Rhinolophus ferrumequinum: one gene and its partner. The protein of the gene in region 1 interacts with the protein of each later gene in a pairwise test. Links are inferred from orthologs where the notes say so. Each region holds a gene or a part of one and is shown on either strand. Other genes may lie near its edges.

What was found.
Region 2: the proteins of ITGB2 (region 1) and CYTH1 interact in a two-hybrid assay, tested with the Homo sapiens proteins (2 studies listed by BioGRID). The link is inferred for Rhinolophus ferrumequinum from reciprocal best matches to the Homo sapiens genes ITGB2 and CYTH1.

What each region holds. Positions count from the first base shown.
Region 1 is NC_046285.1:107,941,986-107,949,831, forward strand, and holds the start of ITGB2 (integrin beta-2), read right to left. Parts: upstream 3,068-7,846; 5' UTR 2,920-3,067; intron 1-2,919.
Region 2 is NC_046304.1:52,556,526-52,564,316, reverse strand, and holds the start of CYTH1 (cytohesin-1), read left to right. Parts: upstream 1-4,745; 5' UTR 4,746-4,911; coding exon 4,912-4,939; intron 4,940-7,791. UniProt on the Homo sapiens protein: Promotes guanine-nucleotide exchange on ARF1, ARF5 and ARF6. Promotes the activation of ARF factors through replacement of GDP with GTP.

The DNA of each region.
Region 1 (7,846 bases):
CCTACTAGTGACTTCCTCCTCCTGCAATGTTAATTCAGCTGTGGCTCCCTTTGTGGGAGGCAGGGGCTGGGAGGAGCTGTCAGAGGCAGCTGTGGGGGTGACAGGGGGGGCGGCAGGCACACTCTCCTGGGGGTGGGGGAACAGAGCAGGAAACTGCCTGCCTGTGCTAAGTTCTTTCTCACCCCATCCCCTAGCAATCCACAGAAACAGGCAGACAGCTGCCCAGCCTGGGTGATGGAGACCCCTAAGTGGAACCCAGGCCAGAGAGAAGAGATGCCTGGGGTCCCCAGCCAGACAGTCCTGAACACTGGCCCAGCGCCCCAGGCCCTCCTCCCACCCAGCCCCACTCCACAGAGCTTTTCAGTTGCCTTCCTCTTTCCGCCTTCCTTCCTCCGAGGGAGGGAGCTGAAGAGGTGGCATTCCTGCTTCCCTGACATACCCACAGAGGGGAGGCCAGGGGCAGGGGTGGCGGTAGGGGGAGGGGGCTGGCCTTTGGCCTGAGCTGGATCCCCCACGCTCATCAGAATGCAGAGGTTAACTGATAGGCTTGACCATGAGGAAAGTCACATTGAAAAGTGTGTTACAGACTGGGGACAGAAGACATGGCTTCAAGTTCAAAGGAGATTAGTAAGCAAAAAAGTTAAGCAAATATCAACTCTGGGGGAAAACCAGAAAGTTGCAGAAGGAAGATGTACTCAGAGTATGTGCTTTCTGCTTAGCAACACAGAACACTCACACAGTAAATGAGGAGAGACCTGAGCAAAATCCAACCACCACACACGCTCTCGCTCGGGAGAGGAAAGGGTTGGGTGGGATGTGGGGAGCTGTGCCTCAGCTTCCAGAACAGGAGGTGGGCCTGCCTTCCCACCCCTCCAGTCCATTCCCGCCATGCACCACGAAGGCCAGGCTGAGCTGTGGGGCCACCTAACCCTCACCCAGGTCTCGGTCACTCCTCTCTCTCCTGGAACTTATCAAATTGCCATGTCCTACTCAATCAGTGGTCTCCACCAATGCTGACCATGGGCCATCTTTGGGGATGAGAGCCCCCTGAAGTCTGAGCAGGTTGGCCCTTTCAGATGCTGGGCTAAGGGACTAGGTTTCCACTGGTGCTTTCTAGGCCCCTCTCACCCCAGGGACCTGGCTGGGGGGAGGCTGAAGGTCGAGATGGAGCTGGCACTTGGGGCCCAAGGGCGCCCTGAGGACACTGGGTCCCTTTCCTTCTCTGGACCTCAGTTTCCCTCAGCCCTCATCCCACTCTGTGTTGGGCAAAGACCCTGGCACACAGCAGGTGCCGAGAAATGAAAGACGTGAGTAATAAAAATAAGAATGAGACGCAGTCCCAGTGATCACGAACCTGTGGAAAAATCACAGCAGATTTTTTTTTTATTTTGAGGGGAAGGTCTATATGTGGCCTTACAGAGAAATTTCTTCTCATTGAATTTTCCGCTTTACCTTTTAACGTTGAACCTGGGGGAGCACTCTAATTTTCCTGCTCTGGGTTCTTTGCCTGTTGTAGATAGGAATCAAATTCTTCCCCCTTCCTTCTGGAAACGGTGCTGCTGAGGCCCTGGCCTTCTCTGAGTGTGGAGAGCAGGAAGCAGGAGGATGCCAAGGCCTCCTGGTGGGGGAGCTCGTGCCCTGCCCACCCCAGGAGAAGGTGGGTTTCTGGCAGATTGAGAGTTAGCAGGATTTTCTTACATGGCTCCCACCTCTGACCCTGGCAAGATCTGCAGAGAATGCCCACTTCACCCTCCCTCCCAGCTGGCCCGCTTGCCTCAGCCAAACCCAATTTACCAGGCTCATTCCTGAACACAGCTGTGGTGCTGTCCCCACGCACTCCCTGCTGCCCCCTCTGCCCCTCCTGAAGGGTGCAGCCCAAACGCTGTCTCCCTGGGCCCAGAGGGTGGATGGGGCTGAGCCCCTGTGCTGTGTGTGTGCTGGGTGGTCACCAGGAGGACATAATCCTTTCCACATTTCAGCAACAATGAAAACCCCAAGTTCAACAGGCTGCCTGACTCAGGGAGAGAACCCACAGGCGCAGAGAGGGGCTGGCCCCATGCTCTGCCCAGATCCTGGTCACTGCTGGCATCTCTGGGCAACGGGATCAAAGGGGTTTTAACATTGAAAATAATTTTCCCTAGTTCCCAAACCGCCTACGATGGCTGCATTTAACTTTATGATCAGCAAACTATGTTACTATAAATCAAGTTAACTAGACACAAAACCGAACCAAAGGGACCCACACCCCAGAACACCGCCCTGTGAGGAGCTGGGAGAGGGTTGCCAGGGCAGAAAAGAAACGCAGCTGAAGGATGGGCGGGGGCTCGGGGCCGCCCCCGGAGGGCGATGGCCAGATCACCTTCGGGGACAGTCCACGAGGGCTGCGCCCATCATACCGCTCTGGACAGAGCGTGTTTGGGGAACTCGCAACTTTCGCAACCTCCTTCCCAGGCCCCTACCCCCGCTCCAACCACTTCCCCCAACAGCCCCCGCGATTCGCGGCTGAGTCCGACACCTCTCTTCACCCCAAGAGTGAAGTCCCCAGTCGTTCGCGTCCGATTTCTGTCGCGTTCCTGGGCGCGAACATGGGGGACCGGCCACCTGCCGCAGAGGCGCTCAGGGTGGGCGCCTGCCGCGCTATCCCAAGGGACAAGGGGGTCTGCGCGGGATGCTGGAAATTCGCCCAGTTACGGAGATGCTCAGATGACAAAAGTCCCCATAGAAACCCAAACCGGTCGTTTAAAACCCCAGACGTCCCTGAACCAAAGCCAAAGGCTGCAGTCACCGGGCGGAGGCGACCACAGCCCAGCGGGCCAGGCCCGGCCCCCGGTCCCAGGGTCGTCAGGACCGAGACGCCTCCATCACGCCGGGTGACTGAGAGGCACAGGCCACGGGCTTCCGTCGCGGGCATCCGCTCACCTGCTCCCCGACTGGGTCCGGGAGAAGCTTCCGGCGTGACCTGGGCGCCCCTCGCGGAACCAGGCCTGGTGCAGATCCGCGGGGCTGGGCGCCTGCCTCAGTCTTCCTCCCCCGAGCGGGTGAATGGAGCCACTGCGCGCTGAGGTTCCCGCAGGTTTCAGCCGTACGCCTTGGAGTTGCCGCCTCCTTCCCACAGCCGATTCCTTCCGGAATCGCGGGAGGATCTCCCAGAGGAGAGGGGGTGCCGCTTCCCTCCCCGTGGTCCCTGGGGCAGGGAGCGTGCAGGAAGCGCTCGGGGAGAGTCTGGACGTCACCCCTGCCCGGCTCAGGCACCCGAAGGCCTGTGCGCTGCACGGTGTCCACGCTGACACCGGACACCCAATCCTGATACCCGAAGTCCCCGCCTTTGCTCCTGACCTGCACCCGGGTCCTGGAACCTGCTGAGCGCTTGCTGCCTGCAGGTGCTCCTGCCATTTCACTTGTGGACCCTCAAAGATCCGGGAGGCATCCCCCTTGTAGAGACGGGGAAACTGGCTCAGAAGTTCCCCAGGTAAAATCCAAATATTTATAAACTGGTCATATGGGAAGAATTCTCACTTTTACTTAGGTAAGTTTGAAGATAGTTTTCACTGCAGTATGTGTTCTCATGGAATGTATTCCCAGAGCAGAAAAATTACCAGGGCTGTAAATCAGAAACCACACAGTGCTGGTTAACCAACAAGACTGCATGGCCGCCACTTAACCTGCTGCGAGAAAGATGTGGCAGCATGGCATATATCAATTTTCATCCCATTTCAAAAGTCAATATTTAAACAAAGGGTATCCAAAGCCAAGACTTCATGCTGAGTGATTCAATTTTTTTCTGTAGCTGTGTGGTTGCATGAGCACTGTGAGTGTTTTCCTCGCTATGCTTTCCCTGTGTGCCAATGAACTTGCTTCCCAAGGTCTGTTCTTTCCAGTTATGCAAATGTCCCATCGTGGCATCATAGGGCTGTTACTTTAAACCCTGTTCAGAGCTGTTGAGTGAGGAAAGACGTAATTATCAGGTGAGTCCTGTGCACGATGTAAACGTGAGAACACACACACAAGTTGGTCTTTCAGTCTAGATCAAACTATATTTTCTTTGAAAGATATTCGCCAGGAAGAACACTTCTTGTGTGTGCCACCAAATAAATTCAGAAGAAAAAAAATCAGCCCCACAAAATTTGAAACGCTTTAATCAAAGTTACAAATTCCCCATATTTTCTCCAATTTCCTTCAACGTTTTTAAACATGGAAATAATTAGCCTGAAGGGGGGAAAAAAGCTTATCACTTCAATTTGAAACATCTTATACAACCCCGGCCAGAAAAATCAATGGGTTTGTTTGCATTTATGCTCTCAAATACCTAGATATTTTTTTTGGTCATACAGAGCTCACCTCAGATTTCTCCAGTGACAAGAAAATACCACACACACTTAACCTTGGTGGAGTGCCGACTATGTGACTGGCTTTTAACATATGCTAGCTCAGCCAATCCTCCCAGAGGAAGGCCTGAGAAAGTAGGCATTCATTACCCCATTTAAAAATAAGGAATAAAGGGCCGGCCCGGTGACTCAGGCGGTTCGAGCTCCATGCTCCTAACTCCGAAGGCATCCAGTTCGATTCCCACGTGGGCCAGTGGGCTCTCAACCACAAGGTTGCCAGTTCAATTCCTCGAGTCCCATAAGGGATGGTGGGCTGTGCCCCCTGCAACTAACAACGGCAACTGGACTTGGAGCTGAGCTGCTCCCGCCACAACTAAGACTGAAAGGACAACAACTTGACTTGGAAAAAAGTCCTGAAAGTACACACTGTTCCCCAATAAAGTCCCGTTCCCCTTCCCCAATAAAATCTTAAAAAAAAAAAAAAAAAGGAATAGAAAGCCAGAGAGGTTTTGATTTGACTAAAGGCATGCAGAACTCTGATTCTAATCCAATCTGTCTGACTGCAAAAGCAGGTTTCTCTTTGGCTCTTCTCTATTATCAAATTTAAAAAAAACGGTCAGAGAAGGGCTTAATGGATCGTTCCCCTTGTGTAAGTAAATACAATCTCATTTGAATTTCAGTCTCACCAAATAATGTCCTAGGCATGTTTTCTTCTGTTTCTCCTAACTTGAGCAATTAAACAGGTGTTTGATTTTTCAAGTGATCAATCAACAATAACCAATGACAGGCAGAACCGAGCAAGTTAAGATGAGCTCTCTGCAATAAGCTAACTGATCAATAAAAGACACTCTCTACGGGTGTTCTCATATTAACTCCAGAAAGTAAATAACACAGGTGGAGGAATGCACCTTAATATTCTGAAGTCTTCTTAGGTTGTTGAAGGTTAACAAATGGGTATCTGGCCAGTGTACTTGCTAAAACACGCTTCTGCACGGAAACTCTGTGCTGGGAAAGCCGGAGGTGAGGTTCCAGTTTACCTGCTGCGGATGATGGATGTTATTGAAGCAACAAGCCAGGGATTAGCCGGAGAAGACTTCTTAAATGAGCTGGAAGTTGGCATGGGCTTGAGAGAAGTTTAGCATCAGGGTAACGCAGAGGCAAGGGTCCTCTAAGAAGAGAGGATACCTAAGTGAGGATCAAGGCCTGGGATAAAATCGCAACTTTTAAATATACTTATCAAAACGCCAAGGACATCAGGATGAAACTCTCATTTCAAAGGTAATGGTTAAACGGAGTGGTTAACTAGAGTGGTTAAATGGTCTGCCAGTCACACAGCTACGACCAGGGCTTGAAGGTAAGTCTACTCGCCGGCTCTCAGTGTCACTGTGTTTCCACTCTAACAGTGGTTTCCATCCGCTGTCTAACAGGGAGGCGGGGCTCAGGAAACCTGTGGGGAGTCAGGGCAGGGGTGTTCAAACACGGCCGTCCTGCTTTTATCTCTTCTATATATTGGACTTCGGATAAGATTTATTGGAAGAAAAGAGTCTCTTTGTGTTAAAAAAACACTCTTCAAGGCTTTGTTAGTGATTGACACAGTTGAGTTCTGTGCTATGTGACACAGACATAAATATTAAAGGACAAAAAGCCTTTGTCCTCAACTAATGAACTTACTCATTCAACAGTATGGAGCGTATGCCTGTGTGCCAGGTACTTAGCTATGCATCGGAGATTGAATGGTGAGAAAAAGCTACAGGTTTGGCCTGGGGTTGGGGGGTGCCAAACCAGGACATTAACCAAAGAATGCCACAAAGAAATACAAAACCCAACTACGATATGTGGCATGAGGGAAAGTTGCAAGATGCAAGGAGAATGGATGATGAGGAAACTTCAATGTAAGGTGTCGCTGTGTTAGTAGAGGTGAAGTAACTATGTGAACCAACAACTGTGACGGCTATAAGTGCTCAGTACGTGAGGACAGGCTTTATGGTAACGGATGAGGCGGTGAGGGACTCTGCCAGAGGGGCAAGGACACCTCACAATGAAGGTGACCTTGGTGCTTCATCTAGGAAGGGGCCATAGGACACGTTCTCACAGGAAAAGGGGGGAAGGAAGGATACCTCAGACAGAGGCATTTTATGTGCAAAAGGAATAGAAATTGGGTAGAATTTCAAAAAATGACAAGTCGTCCTCAAGAATAGGGTAAAAGGTTGTTGTCTAGAAAAAAGAAATGGAGTTACAAACATACGCAAGGGCCAAGTCAGACAAGGCCTTCCCCGCTGTATTATCAGTTGAGATCTAACCGGCAGAGCCTGCCACGGTGGTGATGTGGTTTCTGAAGGCTGTAGTCAGGAGTGTGACATGATCACACTGCATTCCAGAGGACTCACACAGGAAGTCGAGCAGAAGACAGTAGAAGACAGAACAGAAACAAGAAGACTAGTGACAAAGCGACCAGTCAGAAGCTGCTACGACTTACAAGCAAAAGACAGCTAGGACTGTGGATTTCTTAGGTTTCCTAGCACATGACATTCAAAAGGCGAGTGAAATGAATGAATTAAAATGAATAGGAAATAATGTCGGCGTGCTAGTGTAGGGCAAGAATACAAAGAATCATAAAAGACAAGAAAAATGTTATGACCTGATGCTATAGGAAATAGGAAGTCACTGAAAATTTTTGATCAGAGAAGGAGGAGGAGGAGAAGTTATCCCTACCTTGCCCAAGTCACCTCCAAGCCAGTCCGGCTCCCCTGGGTCCCCGAATGGGGCCTCCCCTCCAGAAATGAGGTTGGACTCAAGCAAGGCAGGGGTTGGGGGAGAGGAGATGGTGGGGAGTAGGGCTGATAGAGCTCATTCCTGGGGCCCAGGAAGGCTCACCTGGAGCAGGGTTCAGGGGGCTGGGCGCTGCACCTGGGAGGCTGGTGGCCAACCCCCGTGACCAGACCAGGAAGGAAGGCCTGACACTGGGCACACAGATACCTGCAGGATGAGGGCCTTAAACCAGGGCCCGGCAGGGCTGGAATGCAACGGGTCTGGAGCTCCAGGTTGTCATTGGCCGTCCTGGGAGAAGCACCTCTGCTGCTCGCAGGTCTCTATCCACTCCAACATGCATCCTAGGGGTTTGGGAACCCGGAAAGCTGAGCCTGCTGCTTCACTAGGAAGTCCTGGCAGACGGCTCCAGGACCTGGCAAGAGCCACGTGGGGTGGAGGTGTTTGCACATACTGGAAGCCATCCTTCCACGTCTGTCTGCGTGGGACCCCAGACCCGGGTGCGTGGAGGTCTGTCTGCAGCTCCTGAGTGACCCGTACCTTGCACGGGCCAGCGGGGCTCTGTCGCGCAGGGTGTAAGACGGGGTCTCTGGTCCTGCTCCCACATAAGAACGTAGGACATGGTGACGCCAAAAAGGAACACCCACGGAGCCATAGATAGGGGAGTCATACCACTATAGTCTCACTGGCGGCTGGAGCCACATTATCCACAACCTGCCGTCCACTTCTCTCTGCCAACCAACCTCACTTGCTAC
Region 2 (7,791 bases), on another chromosome or scaffold:
CCACCCTTTCTCTGTTAGTAGAGGATGTGCTCCACCAAAATGAGCAAGTGATCCAAGAAAGAAAGAAACACAGAACCACAGAAACAGGACCCAGTTTTGGGCAGCGGCTGGGGAACGTCTCAGGACGATGTTGGAAGCAGGCTCAGGCGAGGGGGTGAGGGTACAGTCCATGGATGGCCGTCCCGCAAACAGATCCACGGCGTTCTGACCATGGTGGCAGTTTTACGCCTTGGGGAGAGCTTGGCGATTAATCAGTAAGAGAAGTAAGCAAACAAAAAAGAAGACACTTAACACCTCTGTGGTCATTTTAATCACAGCGCATGGTATGGCTACGCTGTGAGCAATATTTACGAAACACTAACTCCTGATGTAACCAGAAATGTACATGTAGCTACACTGAGTGGCTGCGCGCACGTGCGTGTTGGGGGTAATGGCAGAACTGAAAACTCAAGAATGGATGGTGTGAGCCTGTTATTTAGAAATGCTGAAATAATTAGCAGAAGAAATAGCTGAAAGAGCTTCCTCTACGGAACAGGATTCGAGGGCGAGGGGTAGAGTTGGGCAGGAAACGGTGGTTTCTGTTTTAAGCCTTACGTAATGCTTGCTTTTATATGGTGTGTGCGTGTTGTTTTGCTTAAAGAAAAACACCAGGCACGAGTGGTGAGGAATGAGCCTGGAGAGACCGCAGGGTCAGGTTAAGGAAGGTCTTGAAACGGTGATGAGAAGCATAGACTCGGGCAGATGAAGGGGCCATTGAGTTCTTCAGGAGTGGCTTCCGGCATCGGGTGTTGTAGTGTGCCCTCCATCTCTGCCCGTGTCCCTCCTGCCCTCTGCTGGAGGCCGCCCTGGATGTGCTGTGTCCTCAGTCCCCTCCCTACCAGACTTCCCACCAGTGGCCTCTCCCTGCAGCCACCTCGTCCTGCAGGCCTGGCACTGATAAAGCTGCTCCCTCTCGCTGGCCCTGGGGGCTCCGTCACTCCTGTTGGTCTCCCCAAACTCTGCCCTCACGTTTACAGACAGACATGACTCCCGCTTTGAGTGCAGCTGTGTGTCCTTGGCATTATGACTGATGAGAAAAACCTTTCCCTAGAATATTGCATGAATATTCATGGAAGTGTTCTTGTGTCATTTCAAACCATTACTTGCTCGCATGCTCTCAGCTTATCCTCCACCAGAGGGGGTGAGGCTGGAGTAAAGGATCAAGGCTTATTTAAGGTGTTTCATTAATTGAAAATAAAAAGTGTCTTGGGTGAAAACCCCTGCATGCAAACGGCCTCGTGTGATTTTCAACATGAACAGCTATCGGGTGTGTTCTTCCGCTTTGTTGAGCTGTCTGGTGCTGATGACAAGGCCTGGGCCAGTCCCCTTGCCTCCTGCCTCGTGACTCCGCTGCTGCTCTGCAGCCTGGGGACCTGCTCTGCTTCTGTAGCTCTTGTTCCTTGTTCTTCAAAGTGCTTTGAACTTGGGCACAGCCCCCCTTTGGATAACTGCCCCACCGTCCTTCCCACCGGTGCTGTGCCCAGCAGGGGGTAGGTGATGCCAGGGCTGCCCCCCTTAATGCCTGTTGGCTGATGTCATTCTGAATAGTTTTCAATCTCAGAAATGTCCTCATATGGGTAAGTTACGCAGTCACTTTCCTGATGAGTGAGTCAAACATATAATTGGGTGCTTCAGTAGTTAAATTTCTATTTTAAGGAATTGAAGACGTTACTCGTTCATTACTTCCTTTTTAACAAACAGTGTTATGTGTTGTACTAACTGTGGAGCAACAGAAATCACACAGAAGACAGGGTGGAGTTGGCCCAGGAGTGCCCGCCGTGCTCCCAGTTTTAAGGCCTAAGTGGCAGCCTTTCTGCCAGCAGCTCATGGGTGCTGGCACTGAACCTGTCCTGCAGGCTGGCCTGGGGTCTGTGAGGTGCCCCCCTGTGCCCAAACTGGGATGATGGCCCTGTGAGCCATTTAGTCCCTCTTTTGAGAACGTGAACTGGGCGGCCTCGCAAGAATGCAGCGTGAGTAGTGGAGCAGAGCGGGAAGTCACACAGCCCGCAGCCCGGAGGAGAGAGCGGAGGGGCCGGGAGTGGCCTGAGTGATGGGGGCCGGCGGCTGCGTGAGCTGGGAGGCCCCGTCCTCCTCCTGTCCCGGCCTTCACACCCCATGTGTGGCAAGTCCTCGGTCCTGCCTTCGAAGTAGGCAGAGCGAGAGTTTGACCCCTTCCTGCGGAAGCCACCACCATCCCAGCCGGTCTCCCTGTGTCTGCCCTGTCTGTTCTTCCCCCGCAGCCGAAGTGGTATCTTTACAAAGGAAGTCAGGTCTTCCACTTCATTCCGAACCCTGGCAGCCGCTACCCGCCTCACCCCCAGTGGACACCAGAGTCCTTAAAATCGCCTCCAAGGCCCGGGCAGCCCTCCCCTCCTGTGTCTCGGCTCCAGCCACCCTGGCCGCCCCCACCCCCACGCGCGCAGCTCCACGTGGCGTTACTTCTTGTTTGTTTCCTGCCCTCACCCCCCAGCTCCCCGCCAGGGCAGGCCTACTTCTCTGATGTGTGTCCAGGACGCCGCACAGCACGCAGGTGTTGAGTGAAACGAATGAGGATGAGATTAGAGATTTGACTGCAACAGGAACTCTTCTCTAAGACAGAAGATAACCACAACTGATGCTAAAAGCAAGTGACAAGAGTGTGGGAGAAATATTTACAACATGTACGTTAGTGACCCACAAATCGGTAAGAAAAGATAACTGATCGGAAAATTGGCAAAGGACATGATCAAGCATTTCACAAAAGAGGAAATACCTCACGTTTAGGAAAATATATCAGCATCTCAGTCACAGATCGCTGCAAACTGAACAACTGTGAAGCCATTTTCACTCATAGACGGGCAGAAATGAGGGGTGTCCTTTGGGGGTCTCGGGGAGCCTTGGGCCGGATCTGGGAAAGCTCTGAGCACCGGGCCTCCCGGGCCAGCAGTTCTGCCCGAGGGCGTCTGTTCCGGAGAAACGCTCTTCCACTTGACAGTAAGTAGAAGATGGAAGGGACCTGTCTTCTTCAAATGGGGACCAGCAGCAGCGGAGATCAGCCCTGGTGCCGGCAGGGAAGCTTTAAGCTTTGGCTTGAAAAGGAGCAGAGCCGGGCAATCCCGGGGTTTACTGCAGATGGGGTGGGAGGGAGAAAGCGTAACTGCAACATGGACTTTCGGATTTATGTTAGTTGCCTCTACAAAACAGTGCTTTTTACAAATGTAGATGTACATATTTATTTATTATTAGACAAGAAGGAAAAGGGTGGCCAAGGTCCTGCCCTCGAGGCACCTGTGGCCACCTTCAGATGTGACTGGAGGCTGCGCTCTGGTGTGTCGCTGTGGATGGTGTTTCTGCCCCACTAGGACCCTGTCCAGGACGGCACGGTCACCCCCTACCCCCAGCCTGCTGCAGGAGTTTGCACCCCACCAGGGGGTGGGCCCTGCAGTCAGACGGGGTCAGTGCCAGGTTTGGGACTTTGGGCAAGCTGTGGGACGTCTGTACGTCTCAGTGTCCTCATCTGGGCACGGGCGCTGGAGATAGCACTTGCCTCATGAGGTGCTCTCAGGGTTAGAGGAGCCCGGCCTTGTCAGGCTGGTGCAAAGGGAGCACCCAGGAGTGTTGCCACACGACGATACCCCAGCTGCTGTCACCTGTACGTGTGACTGGCTGAGGTGCCGACCCCTCAGTCTCACCCACGAGCAGGTGGGAGGCTGTGTCTGGATCCCGCTGGGGACGTTGCTGAAGAGGTGGTGACAGGCACGTGCCAAGAAGTACCTGGGTGAGAGGTTGGCACAGAATCCGGCAGCCTCCGGGACGTCTCACAGTAGGGGGATGGCTACATATTCTGTCCATATCGTGAATAATAAAAGTACGATCGGTGTCCATTTTACAGTCATGGAAAATGTTTGTTACGAGTAAAAATAGCTGGTTAAGAGAGAGCATATAAAAGATCTAGTTCTTTCTGTCTATGTATATGTATATATATTTATGTGTATGTATACTTATCTATATGCTTATCTTGAAATAATATAAATATATCGCGAGAGAAATATATGTAATATGTATTATATAGGAGAGATACAGGAGGTACATATATAGATAGATACATGTGTGTGTAGAACATAGAACAAAAGTCTGGAAGAATATAAAGAATATATACCAAAATGTCATCAGTGGGTGTCCCTGGTGATAGGATTAAGGTTTTTGGTTTTGCTTTCCTCATTACTGTTATCTAATTTCAACAACAAACGTATCGTGAATGTAATGAGTGTGCAGAGAAGAACAGCTTGGTGGGGCCCGGGAGAAAATAGAATGGTGGTAAAATTGAACTTCTTCGGAGAGTGTTGCTCTTGGATTTTTTGTTTTTGTCTCTCAAGTCTGCCTTCTGCTTTCAGCCTGTGACCTCATAACATACCGTCTGATTACGATCTTAGTCTTTCCCTTGGGAAATGTTATCTTATTGTGCGAGGCCCAGGGGTTTTCAGTGATTGTGTGCTAAGAAAGCACTTGGGAAAGGAAGAGGGGAACCCATGGCTTTGGTTGAATCTGAGGAAAGAGCAGCAGGGCAGCTCTTAGACTCCTTGGCGTCCAGCCCAAGACTGCTGGTAGGGAGGACGAGGGAGGAGACGGCAAGGAGGAAGCCGCTTGGGCTTCACCTCAGGAACTGGGCGGTGGCAGTGGACGGGTGACGCTGCTTCTGCGGCTGGAGGCTGATTGGCCCAGGAGGGCAGCCGGCCAGCCCCGGGGTTCAGGAAGCAGCTCTGAGCTGTCCTGGCGGGGCAGCCCTCAGGTATTCCTGGCCTGCCCAGCCCTACCTCCCAGGAAAACTTGGCGGAGTTCTCCTTTGAAGAGCAAAACCGAGCCACCTTTGGGGTTCTGCTGTGACGGAGAAAGATGGTCCTTAAAACCGAGGAGGAGAGCGGTGAGTCCGGTCTCGCCGTGGGTGTGTGGAGTGGGGTTTAAGTATCTCTGTTGATCAGTGTGTGAAGTCCTGTGACGACAGTTCCACTGCCCTCTGGGACAAGTGGCAACCCAGACTCTGCTTTGTGTCTTCCTGTTTTCCGGAGGAAGGTGGAGGGCGATTTAGTGTTCAGAGGCTCAGGAGTGTGTGTGTGTGTGTGTGTGTGTGTGTGTGAGAGAGAGAGAGAGAGAGAGAGACAGAGACACACACACTTGGTGTGTTTTTAAGCCAAAGAATCTCCGCCCCCATCTTTGCCCTGGGTGCTGCTTGGCTGAGGGCAGGGAGCGGGCGCTCTGGCTTGGTGCTCCAGCCTATGCTTCCTGCATCTGAGTAAGTTGGTCAGAAGCTCTGGGAGTTGCATGTATGTCCACAGTGAGCGTCACACTAAAAAGAAAAGATGTTAGAGACCTGGTGGAAAGCACACCAGAGAGCTTCAGGGTAAATAGTATCTGCTTGTGTTAGATACAGTGTAACGAAGGGAGCCTGCAGATAGCTCCCATCTTCCTCTTTTGAACTTCCTTCATCTCCTCCACACCCACACTGTAGACAGTGACGCTATGAGTAAAAGGATGACAAATTTTGTGGCTTATGAATCCCAAAAGAGTCTTCAGGAGTGTCTCAAAGCACAGGTCAGGGCTTTACAACGTTCTGGAGTCACAGGTTTGTGTGTGGACGTGTGGATTTTATGTGATGCCTTCACCCCATGGCAGTGTTTTAATGGCACAAGACACAACGGCAAAATGGCTACTGGTTTGTACCTGGTAGGGGATGACATGAGTACGTTTGAAGTAAATACTAGGCTGTGTTTCAAAGTGGATTTTGTAAAAGTTGTAATAAAGTTTGGGAGTCCTTTTATGCTTTTCCTTCCCCGGTTCACTATGAAACACCTTCTAAAGTTTTACCTCTAGTCATGCAGATGACCGTGGGCCGTGTGTGTGGGTTGCTTTGGAAAGCTGTACCGTGCGTGAAAGGCTTTAGGAGAGAGGGACATAAATCGGTGTTTATAATGACAGTTCTGCATTTGAAGAGGGACAGTAAGGAGAGGCAGATCTAGGTCAGGCTGAGCTGCCCGTGGGGGAGGTGTTGTATCCGAAAGGCCAGTCTACGGTAGACTCGAGTTCGAAGGTCTCTAGTTCAAAAGCGGGTACTTTTGAGAGTGAAAAAGGACATTAGGTGTGACCCACTGGCCTGGGCAGATGCTGACTGCTGGTGACCGTGTCCTCTAGACAAGCCTGGCTGTAGACCCACGGAGGGGGCGTTGTTTAACGAACGATGTCATCAGCCTCTAACCGTCCGAGAGCTTTAAAATTCCACACTAGCCATTCAGCGTGTGGCACTTGTTTCAGTGGTGGGGGTGTGAGACACCATTTTAGGGCAGGGACTTCAGACACCAGAGTTTAGGGTTAGATCAATGGGCACCTTTGCTTTGAAGAAGGGGCCTCCAGAAATGAGCGCTTCTCTCCGTTCCTCTAGCCCTCCCCCCCGGGACCTTAGGGGGGCACGTTACCTTTTTAACCACCGCTAAAGCCGCTGCCCCATGGTGTTGAGATGAGATGCAGAAACAGCGTCGGGCACGTGTGCAATGAAGGGAGCTGTGGACTTTCCTTGGGCAGCTCCCCGAGGTCCCAGGAGAGGGAGAGAAGGGAGAGTTAGGTGTCAGCCTTACGCGCACGAGAGCTGCTTTTCCTAGATGTTTAACCCAAAGAGCATGCCCAGTAAAGGGAAGTGGGGGGTTCTGAAGATTTCTTTAAAGAAGTCAGGTCCTCTCCTGATGCACCAAGTCAGAGCCCCAGCCCTTAAGTGACAGTTAGTGCTTTCTGCCTCTGTCCTTACTGGCGCTTTCGCTCATCAGTTTCGGTTGCCGTCTTTCGCAGGTATGTTAGGTGGGCATGGACCAGGGGACTGAATCAGGCACAGCTGTCGTCACTGCCGGAGGTGCGCTTTTAGCTGTTGAATCTTATCTTCGGGATGCTTAGTTCCCCTTGATTTGCCTTTCAACCTCCTCTGTGGGGTGGAGTCCAAGCCCCTCGCTGTGTGGGACACGAGGCCTCACAGTACTCTCTGGGCTCTTCTGAGTGCTGTCCCCGTCCCCACGTGTCCTGGGCCCTGACCTGACCCAGGCACCCAGCCACGCCTGGCCTCCCTGTCTCGTGTGACATGTGGGTCCACACTGGTCTGTGCTGCTCTGTTTGGACAATCCATTCGTCCTCAAGTCCTGTCCCAGAGGCCCGGCCCCTCGGAAGCCTCTCGGCGTCTGTCCCCAGGTGTCCCTGAGTACTGGGCGTGCGCGGCTGCGGTGGCAGTGTGTGGTGCCCAACGGGCTCACGTGCATCCTCCACTGGCATTCACGTTCCACTCAGGGAGGGGCTGGAGCTATTTAAATCCCAGCGCCACGCACAGGCTGGGCCTGTGCACATGCTCAGTAAATGCTGAGCTGACGGGAGCCTGCTTGTAACAGTGAGAGGAAATAAAGAGCCGAGGCCTCAGCCGGGGATCCTGACTTAGTACTAAGCTCCGTTAGCGGCTGACCCGGTAGGTGCTTCGTACTCCGTGAGTCTTCTCTGGAAACGGGAGGTTACACGGCGCATAGTTTATTGTCAGGAAATAGGCATAGTTCATAGTTGGACTTTGTTGTCACATTCAAATAAAAATGGAAATGATAACACATTTTAAGCTATAAGTCACCATGTGAGTATAAAGTATCATTTATAGGAAAAATCTCCAAACAGAAGTAAGTATAGTGCCTCTGCACGAGGGTGTTGATTTTCGGTTGCATCTGAAACACGCACCCGTGGTAACCTCCCACCTCGTCC